Linked DNA regions of Pelodiscus sinensis. The protein of the gene in region 2 interacts with the protein of the main gene of each other region in a pairwise test. Links are inferred from orthologs where the notes say so. Each region holds a gene or a part of one and is shown on either strand. Other genes may lie near its edges.

Evidence for each region. The genes of interacting proteins can lie anywhere in the genome.
Region 1: the proteins of BCAR1 (region 2) and NPHP1 interact in a two-hybrid assay, tested with the Homo sapiens proteins (2 studies listed by BioGRID). The link is inferred for Pelodiscus sinensis from reciprocal best matches to the Homo sapiens genes BCAR1 and NPHP1.

The regions. Positions count from the first base shown.
Region 1 is NC_134713.1:196,721,098-196,729,042, reverse strand, and holds the start of NPHP1 (nephrocystin-1), read left to right. Parts: upstream 1-4,855; 5' UTR 4,856-4,969; coding exon 4,970-5,038; intron 5,039-6,616; coding exon 6,617-6,690; intron 6,691-7,945. UniProt on the Homo sapiens protein: Together with BCAR1 it may play a role in the control of epithelial cell polarity. Involved in the organization of apical junctions in kidney cells together with NPHP4 and RPGRIP1L/NPHP8. Does not seem to be strictly required for ciliogenesis.
Region 2 is NC_134722.1:47,958,815-47,966,823, forward strand, and holds the start of BCAR1 (breast cancer anti-estrogen resistance protein 1), read left to right. Parts: upstream 1-4,960; 5' UTR 4,961-5,108; coding exon 5,109-5,120; intron 5,121-8,009. UniProt on the Homo sapiens protein: Docking protein which plays a central coordinating role for tyrosine kinase-based signaling related to cell adhesion. Implicated in induction of cell migration and cell branching. Involved in the BCAR3-mediated inhibition of TGFB signaling.

The sequences.
Region 1 (7,945 bases), on a different chromosome or scaffold from region 2:
TATCAGTCAAATATTAAATGTACATAGACCATATATTTGAGATTATTGCCACATGGTTTATTACAGCAGTCTCTAAATTCCTTGCTGAATTGTAGTGCATAAATCTAAATGCCTTTGGTTACTCAATATTCTATCTCTCTTCTGATTTTATTTTATTTTGGAATTATAATCTGGCTGAACATTGTTTTGACAACCCTTTTCAATTCAAATAAAAAAAACCAAAAATGTGAAACTATGTGCAATTTCTAATTTATTTCATTTTCTTTTAACAGCCTTATGCAGATGAAAGCTGACAACAGAATGAAAGTAACTGGACTCATGCTGCATTTGTATCTAAACACTGTTTAAAATATGGACTTTTGATAAGCAACTATATTCTAAAAAGAAGGCATCTGTGGTGTAATACAATCTGATTTGCCAAAACGGACATCAGCAGAAGTTAATTTCATGTGTATCAGAATAATCTGTCTACAAAAATGTTATGGGGTGAGCTTAACTAATTCATACATATTATGACTATGCAAATTAAAAAATCAGAGTTGCCACATTTTTAAGGGTGGTTCATGTCTATTTTGTTTTGCGATTTGTAAGACTCAGCCTGGGGTCTGTTTGCCTCTTACCTTTTAACAAATTAAACTAAAAATGGTATAATTTACTTACTTGTAATTTTGTAATAAAGTCTCTTAAGCAGGGAGTGAAAACATCTAAAGATTCTAGCATTAAACATTTTAGGTCTTCGAAAGTAGACAAATCAAAAGGCTCAGTCAAAAAGAGTAAGGCAAAAGCATACCGTCATACACTATGTCAAATTCATGTATTAAATCAGTAATGCTGGGTTTCTTATCTGAAATGCAGCAAAAAAATACTCATAGAATTCTATGTCTAGATCTCTTACTAGCTCCATCACTAAGAATACATCAGAATACATACTTACTACTCCACATAATCACTTCCAGCAAAGATGCTGGACATCATGAATTGAAATCCTGGGGCCTTCCTTTTGGGCTTCAGGCTACATCTGGGTCAACTATCCCTATCTTTCTGTCACTTCTGTGCATATGTGCACAACTTTACCTTCCCCAAAATCTCCTAAACAGTGCATTTTTAGATGATTCTATTTTGTTCTTTTATCTTTATAAGCAGGTGCCAGCTCCACGCTGTGCCAAAATAGTTAAAGGCTATGTCAGTTCAGAATTCACCCCTGCCCTTAGCTTTGCCTTTATTAATTAGCTAATACTAAAAGAAAATAAAAAACCCAGAGAGGCTCCTTTCTCATGCCTTCTCCCCAAGCTTGGCTGCTCTTATGATTTTTCTCTTAAGACTGATGAGGCTTAGACCGAGTCCCAAACTGTTTACTAAGGTGACCCATCCACTGCATTTTCTTTCTTTTTGCAAGCCACCATTCCATATATGCACCCTCTGCCCTTGCGCTGTAATCTGAATCCTGGCCCAGTGCAGAGGAAGCTGGGGGCAAGGGAGGTTGAAGAGCAAGCCCACACTGCACTCACCCCTCTTCTATGCTCTCAGCTTTATGTGTAATGACCTGTTGTGTTACAGCACCACTCAAGTTTGGGGGGTGGCCAGGCTTTGTGACTCAATGTGTCTGGTTGCAATCACTGAACTAGGCAGCCAGGCCCGTTTTCGCAGGACAGAACCACCACTGTGGGATGTGGAGGGGACAGCCTTGCTCTCCACTCCCCCTCCTGTCTGCATCTGGCTGGCACAGTGTTGCTACGTCTAGACTACATTCCTTTTTCATAAAAGGGATGTAAATTAGACGTATCGCAATTGCTAATGAAGTGGGGATTTAAATCTCCCCCGCTTCATTAGCATAAAAATGGCTGCCGCTTTTTTTCGGCATGGAGCTTTGACGGAGAAATGCGCCAGTCTAGACGCTGATATTGTGGAAAATAAAGCCTTTTCCGAAAGATCCCTTATTTCATAGAGGGATAAGGGATCTTTCGGAAAAGGCTTTATTTTCCTCAAGATCAGTGTCTAGACTGGCGCTTTTCTCTGGCAAAGCTCCATGCCGAAAAAAAAGCGGCAGCCATTTTTATGCTAATTAAGCGGGAGAGATTTAAATCCCCGCTTCATTAGCAATTGTGATACGTATAATTTACATCCCTTTTACAAAAAAGGGATGTAATCTAGACGTAGCCTGTGTGTTACCTGGTTCAAGTCCCAGTGATGGGTTAACCTGGTCCTAGACACAGTGATTCATCTAGAATCTTCATGGGAACCACGATTTGGGAAACAATGGCTTAGATGTCTTTATCTGGGGGCTACTCTCCCTTCGCTTACATCCAGAATTAAAGAGTCGCACCTGTCACAATGAAGGAAGTATTTAAACTAATATCTCCCATCAGCTTTCTAATACCTTCTAACTTAATGGGTACACAAAAGAACCCAGCTGTCGTATTACAGTGCCATTCAGAATCTTGAAATGTTGACTTACCCAAGTTGGAAATCTTGTGGCCTTGATGTCTGAGATGTAACTCGCTTACAGAAGTTTCCTGTGTAATGCTGTACCAGGCATCCTATGCAAAATGGAGCTGAGGTCAGGTAGTTTAGTGTCATTCATTGGAAGATATGGTTCATGTGCTAGCTCAAACTCTGCACTACTGTCATGTTTAAATATTAATTGTATTTATTAATAAAAAATTGGGTGCTTTAATTTTTTGCACTGAATTTGTATATTTTTAATGCAGGACAATGTAGCACTTTAAAGACTAACAAGATGGTTTATTAGATGATGAGCTTTCGTGGGCCAGACCCACTTTCTCAGATCAGTTTTGATCTGAGGAAGTGGGTCTGGCCCACGAAAGCTCATCATCTAATAAACCATCTTGTTAGTCTTTAAAGTGCTACATTGTCCTGCATTTTGCTTCAGCTACCGCAGACTAACACGACTACATTTCTATCACTATTCTATATTTTTAATGTGTATCTAGGATTTCTGAAAAAAGTAAAAAGGAAGAAAAAAGGTACATGATAGAAATGACAATTTGGGATTGCTGTGTAGTGGTTTGAATAATTCTTTGGATACAGCAGTGTAGTTTTTCTAAATCTGGTGTTGCATACATCAGTGTAATTAATCATTTTAATATGATTACAAGAGAACTTTTTTATGCCTTGTTAATAACCCTAAATGTGTTTTTAAAAAATCATTAAAGAAAAACAGTAATCCCTCCTGTGGAAAGTGCACATGTAGTTAAGTGGGAGGAGATCAAACTATCATCTTGGAACTTGACAACACTCTTAATTCTGTGTACATCTCTCTTGAATTTCCTTATGTGCATGAGAAAGTCAGAGGGAACAATTTTATACATCACATGCTAGGAAAAAAAATCCTCTGTATGTGTCAAAAGCTATTTAGAAAATAAAACTGCTTCTTCCGGGGCACTATAGGTGTATATGAGAGAGGTTCCATCAAGTGCAGGGATGAAATGTCTGTCTGCAAACTGCCTAGCTGTGCAGACTAGAACACCATGGAGAGAAGGCTCTCGTTTTATAGCATGGTGAGTCCATCCTGTTCCACGACTAAGGCTAAGTGCTGTGACAATATTTAAAAGTTTGGCAGAAAGTTAATTTTTAGTTTGTATAATTTTGATGGGTAGTGTAATTGCAGATGTTTAGTTCTGCCCATTTTTTTCCAGTTTGTAGCTATTTGAAATGTATACTAATCACCAGCCACACCGGAAACACTAACCCAGGAACCAATCTCTGCAACAAACCCCATTGCCACCTCTGTTCATATATCCATGCTAATGACTAGGGCTCAACAAACCGCTGAATCTACTTGCCCGTGGCGAGTAGATTTCAGTAGGTTGCTCCGAGCGCCCCATTCATCAGCGCTTTGCGCATGCGCAGTGGGGTGCTGGCAAGTGGCTCTCGCTGGGGTTTGTCAAGCCCTGCTAATGACATCACATTAGTAGACATGCAGGTGAACAGGCCAAACCTGGGATAGGTGCAGTAATGGCTATTAGCCAGGATGAGCAGGGATGGGGTCCCTAGCCTCTGTTTGCCAGAAGCTGGGATGGGTGCCAGGGCAGGGATCACTTGAGGTTTACCTGCAGGCTGTGTCTAGACTGGCATGATTTTCCGGAAATGCTTTTAACATCTTTTCGGAAAAGAGCGTCTAGATTGGCAAGGATGCTTTTCTGCAAACGCACTTTTTGCGGAAATGCGTCCGTGGCCAATCTAGACGCGCTTTTGTGCAAAAAAGCCCCGATCGCCATTTTTGCCATCGGGGCTTTTTTTGCGGAAAACAAATCTGAGCTGTCTACACTGGCCCTTTTACGCAAAAGTTTTGCACAAAAGGGACTTTTGCCCCAACGGGAGCAGCATCGTATTTCCGCAAGAAGCCCTGATCTCAGACAGTAGGAAGTCAGGGCTTTTGCGGACATTCAAGCGGCCAGTGTAGGCAGCTGGCAAGTTTTTCCGGAAAGGCGGCTGATTTTCTGGAAAAACTGGCCAGTCTAGACACCTGGCTTGGGCCAGGCAGGACGCTGGGCGAGGTGCTCTCGTGGGCCAGCAGCGCCCCCTGCGGGCCAGCCTGTGTCTACACCCCGCAGACACTGGACGGGAAGGAGACGCGCAGCCGAGAGGGGGGGAGGAGGGATCTTGAGACGCCAGACGGCGCAGCATCCCTATGTGGGTGCCCCCCCCACTCGTCAGGGGCTGAAACCAGCGCCCCCCGCTGAGCCCCCAAACGCTTCCAGGCTCCGACCTGCCAGGCAGCGCAGACTACAGCCCCCAGCCTGCACCGCGCGCCGGCCTCCCAAAGGGAAGGCGGCTCTCGAGCCCCCGCGGCATGCTGGGAGTTGGAGTCTGAGACGCGCGCCAGCCCCGGGGCATGCTGGGACGCCTCTAGCTCGCCGCGGTCCGGGCTCCCCGCCCTCAGCGGTGGCGGGCGCGCGGCGATGACGAACGATGCCCCGCGCCCGAAGCGTTCGTCTCCTTGGCGACGATGGCCGGGCGGAGGGGCCGCAGCCCGCTGCAGGGGGCTCAGCGGCGGGGCCGCGAGCTGCGGCGGCAGGTACCGGCCCCTCGGGGGGGATCCGATCCGGGCAAGGGGAGCGGCGCCCCCTGCTGGCGGTGGGGGGATCCGGTCCGGGCAAGGGGAGCGGCGCCCCCTGCTGGCGGGGTGGGGGGATCCGGTCCGGGCAAGGGGAGCGGCGCCCCCTGCTGGCGGGGTGGGGGATCCGGTCCGGGCAAGGGGAGCGGCGCCCCCTGCTGGCGGGGTGGGGGATCCGGTCCGGGCAAGGGGAGCGGCGCCCCCTGCTGGCGGGGTGGGGGATCCGGTCCGGGCAAGGGGAGCGGCGCCCCCTGCTGGCGGGGTGGGGGGATCCGGTCCGGGCAAGGGGAGCGGCGCCCCCTGCTGGCGGGGTGGGGGATCCGGTCCGGGCAAGGGGAGCGGCGCCCCCTGCTGGCGGGGTGGGGGGATCCGGTCCGGGCAAGGGGAGCGGCGCCCCCTGCTGGCGGGGTGGGGGGACCCAGTCCGGGCAAGGGGAGCGGCGCCCCCTGCTGGCGGGGTGGGGGGATCCGGTCCGGGCAAGGGGAGCGGCGCCCCCTGCTGGCGGTGGGGGGATCCGGTCCGGGCAAGGGGAGCGGCGCCCCCTGCTGGCGGGGTGGGGGATCCGGTCCGGGCAAGGGGAGCGGCGCCCCCTGCTGGCGGGGTGGGGGATCCGGTCCGGGCAAGGGGAGCGGCGCCCCCTGCTGGCGGGGTGGGGGATCCGGTCCGGGCAAGGGGAGCGGCGCCCCCTGCTGGCGGGGTGGGGGGATCCGGTCCGGGCAAGGGGAGCGGCGCCCCCTGCTGGCGGGGTGGGGGATCCGGTCCGGGCAAGGGGAGCGGCGCCCCCTGCTGGCGGGGTGGGGGGATCCGGTCCGGGCAAGGGGAGCGGCGCCCCCTGCTGGCGGGGTGGGGGGACCCAGTCCGGGCAAGGGGAGCGGCGCCCCCTGCTGGCGGGGTGGGGGGATCCGGTCCGGGCAAGGGGAGCGGCGCCCCCTGCTGGCGGTGGGGGGATCCGGTCCGGGCAAGGGGAGCGGCGCCCCCTGCTGGCGGGGTGGGGGATCCGGTCCGGGCAAGGGGAGCGGCGCCCCCTGCTGGCGGGGTGGGGGATCCGGTCCGGGCAAGGGGAGCGGCGCCCCCTGCTGGCGGGGTGGGGGATCCGGTCCGGGCAAGGGGAGCGGCGCCCTCTGCTGGCAGGGTGGGGGATCCGGTCCGGGCAAGGGGAGCAGCGCCCCCTGCTGGTGGGAAAAGTCCAGTCCAGACAGGGGAACAGCACTCCCTCATGGCGGTGGGGGGAGCCAGTCTGTGCAAGGGGAGCAGCGCCCCCTGCTGGTGGCGTGGGTGGGATCCAGGCTGGGCAAAGGGAGCAACGCCCCCTGCTGGCAGGGTGGGGGGATCCAGGCTGGTAGGCGGTGTGGGGAGATCCAGGCTGGGCAGGGGAGCAGTGCCCTCTGCTGGTAGGATGGTGGGGTCCAGTCTGGGGAAGGGGTGTGGCACCCCGGATGTCATGGTTGGGGTTGGGAACGTTTCTTGTTTGATATCTGAGCCTCCAAGCCCATCTTCCCTGTGCTGTGCATCTCTGAATGCTGAAATCTTACCATGCAGGTGGATGAATTGCTTGCGGAGAGCAAGGAGAGGAGGGCCCTAGATCCTGCGAGAAGGAAGTACCTTTTTCAGAGGTAATTAATCCTAGCAATACACACGGCATAGAGGCAAAATGCACCGCTGGATCTGAAATCCAGGCTGGGACATGCGGGTAATATTTGTGAAGGGCTAAGCTGTTTGTCATTGAGGGATAACTGCAGCTGATTTTGATAGAAAGTTCCCTAAACAATTTTGCTATTAAATTCATCTTCAGTGATGTGGAGGGATGCCCATGTAAATTAATTATGGGGATTGGAAAGTTGAATAGTGGGCTCGAAGCCAGGAGACATAGGTTCTAGTCCCAGTCTTGCCACTCACTTCCTCTCTGTTTCCCCATCCATACAGAGAGGATAACTATCCTTCCTTTGTACCTGTCCTTTGTTTTTTTATCCAAGGATCAGAAGCTTCTGCTGATGAATCTAATATAATTATTTTAGAATTTTCAGTTAAACTAAACATGAAATAAAAAAATATATTCTGAAGTGGCAAGTTTGAACTCCCACGTCAGGCAATGGAAAGTGTAAAACAGGAGAAGCTGATGCAGTTCCTCTTGTGGAATTATTCTAGGCAAAGTTCGGAGGTACCTCTATGTGTGATTCTGTTCTGTGGAAAAATACATATGGATCCCATGTGCCTTGCTTTCTTTTTTAAATCAAATACATGGTTTTAAAAGTTGCAGTCTCTTTCTGCTTCTGGGGCAGATGATGTTGGGGTTAGCCTACCATGAGGCAAATACTCATTTCTTCTAATGCTATTATTTACATAGCACTAAAAACACACACAGAGAATTTAGGAAGGCAAAGTTCCTTTCCTAAGGGGCTTAAAATCTGTGCACTCGAGTAACCCCATTGACTTTAGTGGGACGACTTATGTTTGTAAAGTTACATATGTGTATAAGTACTCTGAGGTTATGTCTACACTACAAGCTTCTTTTGGAAGAAGCTTTTCTGGAAGATCTCTTCCAGAAAATCTTATTTCGAAAGAGTGTCTACACAGCAAAAGTGCAACGAAAAAGCGATGAGCTTTTTTGAAAATATCGTCCACATTAATTGGACACTGTCTCGCATTTAAGTTGTGATTAGTCTGGATGGAGTGGTTTTTCTGGAGGCCCTTCTTTCGAAAGAGCTCCCTCTTCTGCATCCATACACACCTTTTTCCAAAAAAGCTTTTTTGGAAAAAGGCTTCTTCCCCGTGGAATGAGGTTTACCGCCATCGGAAAAACCCCTCCATTCGTTTGTCTTTCTTTCGAAATAATTCAATAGCAGTGTGGACGAAATAATTCAATAATTC
Region 2 (8,009 bases):
GTTCTCTCGGGGCAGCCTGGCCTTTCTGAGCCCGGCACGGGAGACCTGGAAAAGACGTTCCTGCGTGCGCAACGAGGCCGGATCTCTCTAACCCGCGGCCATGGCCCCTGGGAACCCTTGGCCAGCTGTTTGGTAGCAGCGCTGTTGGGACGTGTCTCGGCTCCCGAGATAAGATCCTTTTCAGGCCAGCGGCCCGCGCAGCCTCCCCGCGGAGTCCCCTGCTCCCCCAGCCCCGGCAGGATCCCTTTGTCGGACGGAAAGGGGTCGGGGAGTGGCTGACGTCAGCCCTTTGCCGGGAGCCAGGCCTCGCCGCCGGGGCTGGGAGCGCTGTGTCGTGGGGCTGGCTGAGCTGGGGCTGGGATTTCATTTCCCCTCCCTGGCAGCGGCATGGTGCCGTCTCCCTGGGGCTCTGCTGTGCGGGCAGTGCAGGATCAGCTCTGGGGCAGGCTGGCTTCCTGCTCCGCCTGGCAGAACCCGCCCGCCCCGCCTAGGCCGTCTTTTCAGCCGTCCTGCCCACAAGCTCAGCCCGACGTCGGGTGTAACTCACCGCCATGTCAACGGGCCGGGCCTGCGCCTCTCCCTGCAGCATAACCCACCTCACCGGGGACCCTCCCGATAGCCACTAGTGGCCGTTTCCATGGACTTCAACCGAAGCGAGGCACACAGCTCCTCCTGCTCTGACAGCTCAGGCCGCCACAGGAGACTCTCCAGTAACTGCCAGCAGTAGAGGGCATATGACACACAGAAAATCAGAGAAAGACAGACACACCAGGTAGGTCTTTACAACAGGAAGGAAAGACTCCCGAGCAAACTCCTCTCTTGGGGGGCTGATTTAGCAAATGAGGGGGCTGTAAGGAGCAAGGGGGAGAGAGAGAAAGGAATGGCCCCCACCAGGCACTCAGCCCGCTGCTGGGCCTCGCCTGTGCTGGAGGGTGGGGAGGGCCCTGCCCTACCACATGCCGGGCTGCAGAATAGCCTGCCTCCTGATCACAACAGCAGCCCCTGTGCTCAATTCCTGCAGGGCCTGCCCCCTTCCCGCGGGGCCTGTCCCCTTCCCGCAGGGCCTGCCCCCTTCCCACAGGGCCTGTCCCCTTCCCGCAGGGCCTGTCCCCTTCCCGCAAGGCCTGCCCCCTTCCCGCAGGGCCTGTCCCCTTCCCTCAGGGCCTGTCCCCTTCCCGCAGGGCCTGCCCCCTTCCCACAGGGCCTGTCCCCTTCCCGCAGGGCCTGTCCCATCCCGCAAGGCCTGCCCCCTTCCCACAGGGCCTGTCCCCTTCCCGCAGCGCCTGTCCCCTTCCCGCAGGGCCTGCCCCCTTCCCACAGGGCCTGTCCCATCCCGCAGGGCCTGCCCCCTTCCCACAGGGCCTGTCCCCTTCCCGCAGGGCCTGTCCCATCCCGCAGGGCCTGCCCCCTTCCCACAGGGCCTGTCCCCTTCCCACAGGGCCTGTCCCCTTCCCGCAGGGCCTGTCCCATCCCGCAGGGCCTGCCCCCTTCCCTCAGGGCCTGTCCCCTTCCCACAGGGCCTGTCCCCTTCCCACAGGGCCTGTCCCATCCCGCAGGGCCTGCCCCCTTCCCACAGGGCCTGTCCCATCCCGCAGGGCCTGCCCCCTTCCCACAGGGCCTGTCCCATCCCGCAGGGCCTGCCCCCTTCCCTCAGGGCCTGTCCCCTTCCCGCAGCGCCTGCCCCCTTCCCTCAGGGCCTGCCCCCTCCCGCAGCGCCTGCCCCCTTCCCGCAGGGCCTGTCCCCTCCCGCAGCGCCTGTCCCCTCCCACAGGGCCTGCCCCCTCCCGCAGCGCCTGTCCCCTCCCGCAGGGCCTGTCCCCTCCCGCAGGGCCTGCCCCCTTCCCTTAGGGCCTGTCCCCTTCCCGCAGCGCCTGCCCCCTTCCCGCAGCACCTGTCCCCTCCTGCAGGGCCTGCCCCCTTCCCGCAGCGCCTGTCCCCTCCCGCAGGGCCTGTCCCCTCCCGCAGGGCCTGCCCCCTTCCCACAGCACTTGTCCCCTCCCTGCAGGGCCTTCCCCCTTTCTGTAGAACCTGTCCCTTCCCGCAGGGCCTGTCCCTGCCCCCTCCCGCAGGGCCTGCCCCTTCCCGAAAATAACCAGCGTAGCGGCTTTGCGCAAGAGGGTTTTTCTTGTGCAAGAAGGGGCCGTGTAGACAGCTCCTTGCGCAAGAGCCTCTTCTGCAAACATGGCGGCTCATTAGATATGCAAATGAGGCTCGGCGATAGTCCACGCTTAGCCTCATTTGCATATCTCTGGCGCAAGATCGCCCTGTGTAGACATAGCCACAGTGGGATGAGTCCCACGTTTTCATGCAGGACAGCGGCCTGGAGAGCGGTGTTACGTAGATTCCGGTAGCACGGAGGAGGCCCGGGTGTGCCGGGCGCTGTAGGAACACAGGAGCCACAGCGATCGCTCACGCAGCCCAGACAGACAGCGTGTGGCAGGACAGTTTACTCTTCTGGGCAGGGGCTGCGCACCCCTGTATGTGTGTACAGCTCCGAGCACTCCCTGGGCCATTAATACAATTCATGCCAGCCAGGCGTTCAGCCTCCTTACCCCGGCTCCCGGCTCCCGGCTCCTCGCCACTCTGGGCCGTGTGTCCCCCATGCGCACCTTTCAAGGCAGTCTCCAGGGCTCAAATTAGGTCTCAATTGGACTGGGCCAGCCAGTGCCAGCCCCACCCCCACCCTGGCACCACCCAAGGGCTTGTGGGGGGGCTGTAGTGGAGCATGGTGATTCTCTCACCCCCCCCACGCCTCCTCCCCCAGACCCTGCTCCCTGGCAGGCAAGCGGGTGGGAGGTGCCAACTTTTCTCCCCCCCCCTTCGTAGAATCATAGAACTCCAGGGCGGGCAGAGCCCTCAGGAGGCACCGAGTCCAGCCCCCTGCCCACGGCTGGACCAACCCCGACTCAATCAGCCCAGCCAGGGCTTGGTCAAGCTGAGACTTACACACTGCCTGGCACCGTTGGCCTTTTAGCTAATCCGCCACCGGAGGCTTGTTTTTCCGAAGGGGGGGTCAAATCTGTCCCTACGTGTCCCAGTAAACACCGCTGGCCACGGTGCACGGGGCAATGCAGCTCGCAAAGCCGGCTGCAGCCGGGAGCGATGCTCCAGCCCCCGGGAAGTTGTGTTGCTTTACTGCGGTGAGCGCTGCAAACTCCTGTGGCCACAATTCGATCAGTGCGTAGGCGAGCGCTTCCTGGATGAACCGCCCTGGGGTAAGGCCCCATAGATGGGTACAACGGGTCTGCCCAGGTCTCTCCAGCACCGTTCATGGGGTAACAACTCACCCCTCACACACACACACGGCCCCGTGTCACACGCACGCACACGCAGCCCTGTGTCGCACGCGCGCACGCACATGCAGCCCTGTGTCACATACACGCACATAGCTGTCACACACGCACTCACACACAGCCCTGTGTCACATGCACACACAGCCCTGTCACACACACAGCCCCGTGTCACACACACGCATGTACACACAGCCATGTCACACACGCACTCACACAGCCCTGTGTCACATACACGCACACACACAGAGCCCTGTCATACACACAGCCCTGCGTCACATACACGTGCGCACACACAGCCCTGTGTTGCACACACGCACGAACATACACAGCACTGTGTCACATGCACAGCCGTCACACACATGCACAAACACACAGAGCCCTATGTCACATACATGCACCCACATGCACGAACACACACAGCCTTGTGTCACATACATGCACACACACACAGAGCCCTGTGTCACACACACGCACAAACACACACAGCCCTGTGTCACACACACGCACACAGCACCATGTCTCTCTCACACATACAGCCCTGTGTCACACACATACACGAACACGCACAGCCCTGTGTCTTTCTCTCTCTTACACACAGCCCCATGTCACACACACACACACTCACACAGTCCCATGTCACACATACAAGCGTCCCGTGTCACACACACACACACACCCCTGTGTTATACACTCGCAGTCCTGTGTCTCACACACACACACACACAGCCTCGTGTCACACACATCCGCATGAACACACACATATAATCCCATGTCACACATGCAATCACACACACAGAGCCCCATCTCATACACTCACACACACACAGCCCCATGTCTCAAATACACACTCACAGAGTCCCATGTCACACACGCAGTCTCGTGTCACACACACATACAGACAGGCAGTCCCATGCCACATACACACAAACGCAGCTCCATGTCACACACACACACACATACACATGCACGCAGTCCTGTGTCACACACATGCGCGCACACACAGCCCCGTGTCACACACTCACACGTGCACATGCAGCCCTGTGTCACACACACACACAGTCCCGTTTCACACACTCATGCACATGCAGCCCCATGTCACACACACGTGCACACACAGTCCTGTGTCACACACACGCGTGCACACACAGTCCCGTGTCACACTCACACACTCACATGCAACCCTGTGTCACACACTCACACATGCAGTCCCGTGTCACACAACCACAGGCGCATAAGCAGCCCAATGTCACACACTCACACATGCAGCCTCGTGTCACACACTCACGCGCACACGCAGCCCCGTGTCACACACTCACAGGCGCACGCGCAGCCCCGTGTCACACACTCACACACTTAGCCCCATGTCACACACACAGGCGCACATGCAGCCCCGTGTCACACACTCACACACGCAGCCCCGTGTCACACACACACACACGCAGCCCCGTGTCACACACTCAGGCGCACACGCAGCCCCGTGTCACACACACACACACACAGCCCCGTGTCACACACTCACACACGCAGCCCCGTGTCACACACTCAGGCGCACACGCAGTCCCGTGTCACACACTCTCACACGCAGCCCCGTGTCACACACTCAGGCGCACACGCAGCCCCGTGTCACACGCGCAGGGCGCCCCCTGCTGCCGGCGGGCGGGCGTGCGGAGGGCGGCGCTGGGGGCGGGCTCGCTGCCCAGCCCAGCCCAGGCGGCGCGGCGGCCAGTCGGCCGGGGGAGCGCTGGGGTGCGGAGCTGCCGAGCCGCGCCGAGCCGGGCCGCGCCGCCTGGGCCCGCGGCGGGGCCGCCGGGGAAGATGAACTACCTGGTGAGTGCCCCCCCCCCCCCCCCCGCCCGCCGCGGCCCGGCCCATCCCCGCCGCCTCCTGGCGCCGGCCCCGGCCCATCCCCGCCGCCTCCTGCCGGGCAGCCGGGCCCCGCTGGCAGCTCCGGGCCGCCCCGCGGGACAATGCGGAGCCGCGGCCGCGCCGAGCGCCCTGCCCCGCACGACGTGGCACGGAGCGGGCGGCCCCCGGCGCCGGATCGGGCCCCGCAGCGGGCCCGGGGAGGGTCATTCGCCGGCCCAGAGCCCGGCCGCGCCGGGGGCCTGCGCTGGGGGTGGAGCCGGGGCTGGGGCCGGGCGTGAGGCTCGGTGCGCGGCGAAGCGGCTTTGTCCTTTGCGGGAGAGCGCGACGGACCCCCCTCCCCCCCCGTGATGAGTTGGTTGGGTCTCAGGCCGGGCCCCTAGCTGCTCAGTCCCCCCCCCCCCCCCCCGACCCCTGTGTTGAATTGGTTGGGTCTCAGGCCGGGCCCCTAGCTGCTCAGTCCCCCCCGACCCCTGTGTTGAATTGGTTGGGTCTCAGGCTGGGCCCCTAGCTGCTCAGTCCCCCCCCCCCCCCGTGTTGAATTGGTTGGGTCTCAGGCTGGGCCCCTAGCTGCTCAGTCCCCCCCCCCCCCCGTGTTGAATTGGTTAGGTCTCAGGCTGGGCCCCTAGCTGCTCAGTCCCCCCCCCCCCCCGTGTTGAATTGGTTGGGTCTCAGGCTGGGCCCCTAGCTGCTCAGTCCCCCCCCCCCCCCGTGTTGAATTGGTTGGGTCTCAGGCTGGGCTCCTAGCTGCTCAGTCGTCCCCCCCCCCCCCCGTGTTGAATTGGTTGGGTCTCAGGCTGGGCCCCTAGCTGCTCAGTCCCCCCCCCCCCCGTGTTGAATTGGTTAGGTCTCAGGCTGGGCTCCTAGCTGCTCAGTCCCCCCCGACCCCTGTGTTGAATTGGTTGGGTCTCAGGCTGGGCCCCTAGCTGCTCAGTCCCCCCCCCCCCCCCGTGTTGAATTGGTTAGGTCTCAGGCTGGGCTCCTAGCTGCTCAGTCCCCCCCGACCCCTGTGTTGAATTGGTTGGGTCTCAGGCTGGTCTCCTAGCTGCTCAGTCGTCCCCCCCCCCCCCCCCCGTGATGAGTTGGTTGGGTCTCAGGCCGGGCCCCTAGTTGCTCAGTCCCCCCCCCGCCCCCCGTGATGCGTTGGTTGGGTCTCAGGCCGGGCCCCTAGCTGCTCAACCCCCCCCCCCCCCCCCCCCCCCCCCCCGTGATGAGTTAGGTCTCGGGCCAGGCCCTGGTGCTCGCTGGACTGGTGGCCCAGACCCGGCCGTAGGCTCCGTGCCCCGGTGCCAGGGCGGGCATGCACTGTCCTTCCCCGCTGCCGGAGCCGTCTCATGCCAGCAGCGGGCGCAGGTCCTGGCTGGCCCGAGGGGTGCCTGGGATGGGGGCCCCGCCCGGGGACTGGGTTCCCAGCCAGGGGCCTGTCCCAGCGGGCAGCCTGGCTGCGACCTGGGCATATGTCCTGAGCATTTGTTCCCCCCTAGGATCCCCTCCCCCAGCATGGGCCGCTGCCCTGCCCCGGCCCCTAGCGCCTGCCAGCCCCGGCTCTCGGGGCTCTGAACCAGGGCCTGGTGGCCAAGATGGCCCAGAGGTTCCCCGGACACTCGGCCCCTTCATCCCCCCGAGGGCAGGCAGGGCCGACTCTGGCTCAGGTTGGGCCCGGGGCTCGCAGAGGAAGTGACCTGCCTGGAAGTCGTGTGGCACATCCGGCCGAGCACCGGACTTCCCCGCCCTGCTCTCCCCACTGGCCGGCGCTCCCTCCCTGACTCGGCCCCATGGGACAGGGGCAGTGCCCCCTGCTCCCACCCAGCTGGCGCCTTCCTGGGTCACCCCCCGGCAGGGCCTGCACCCTGCGATTGAGCCAGGGTGCTCTGGCACTTGGCACCAGCCCATGACAGCCAGGAGGGGGTGTCACCAGGCACTGCCCCCTTGCTGGCCCCGGGGGCAAGGGAGGAGGCCCACAGCGCCCTGACCCACACTGGGCCCTAGGCTGCCTCTCCCCTCCCCCCCGGCTGTGTGGGTGCCTGGAACCAGGCTGTCCAAGCTGGGGGTCTGGCAACATTTGACCATCGGGAGCTGGGTCTGTGCTGGGCAGGGGGCCCCGAAGCCTGTTGGGGGGGCCGGATTCCCCCCCCCCCGTGAGATTTGCCACTGGCAATAGAAGGGGGGAGGGAGCCGTTGCTGGAGGAGGCCACGTGGTGCCAGGGGCCGGCGGGGGGGGAACTGGCACAGCCGGTGGCTAGTGGCAGAGCGTAAGTGCCCTGCCCGCCTGCGTCAGCGACGGCGTTAATGATTCACCCGGCAATCAGCCTTCGGCCTGGCGCAGGGCCCCGCGGGGGAGGGGAGCGACTCCTGTCATGCTACAGCAGAGCGGGGGCAGGGACCCCCCCCCCCCCCCCCCCCGCAGCACTTGGAACCCTTGAGAGGAGACGCCCCCTTCGGCCAGGGCCTGCCCCCTGGCTGGGGCCGACCAGGGCTGGGGGGGATCTTCCCAGGTGGCGGGGGTCACAGACCCCTTTGGCAGTGCCCACGGCGGGGGGGTGTCTCTGCGCTGTGGGAGCTGGTGACGGCTTAGCTGGCTGGTTCCCCTGCTGTGTTCGGGGTTCTCTGTCCAACCCCCTTTGCCGCAGATTTGCCCCGGTGAGCGGAAAGGTGGGGGGGGATGGGGCGGTCGCCTGCGTCTCTGGGCAGCTGGTTCTGCCATGGCCGGGGGGGCTACCAGCCCCCTCGGGGCCATTCTCCTCCCTGGGCCTGGTTCCGACGGCAGGCGCTGTGGGGCTGGGCGGCCTGGTGCTGCGGGTACGTCCAGCGCCACGTGCGGCCGAGCCCCGAAGGCGACTGTCACCATCCAAC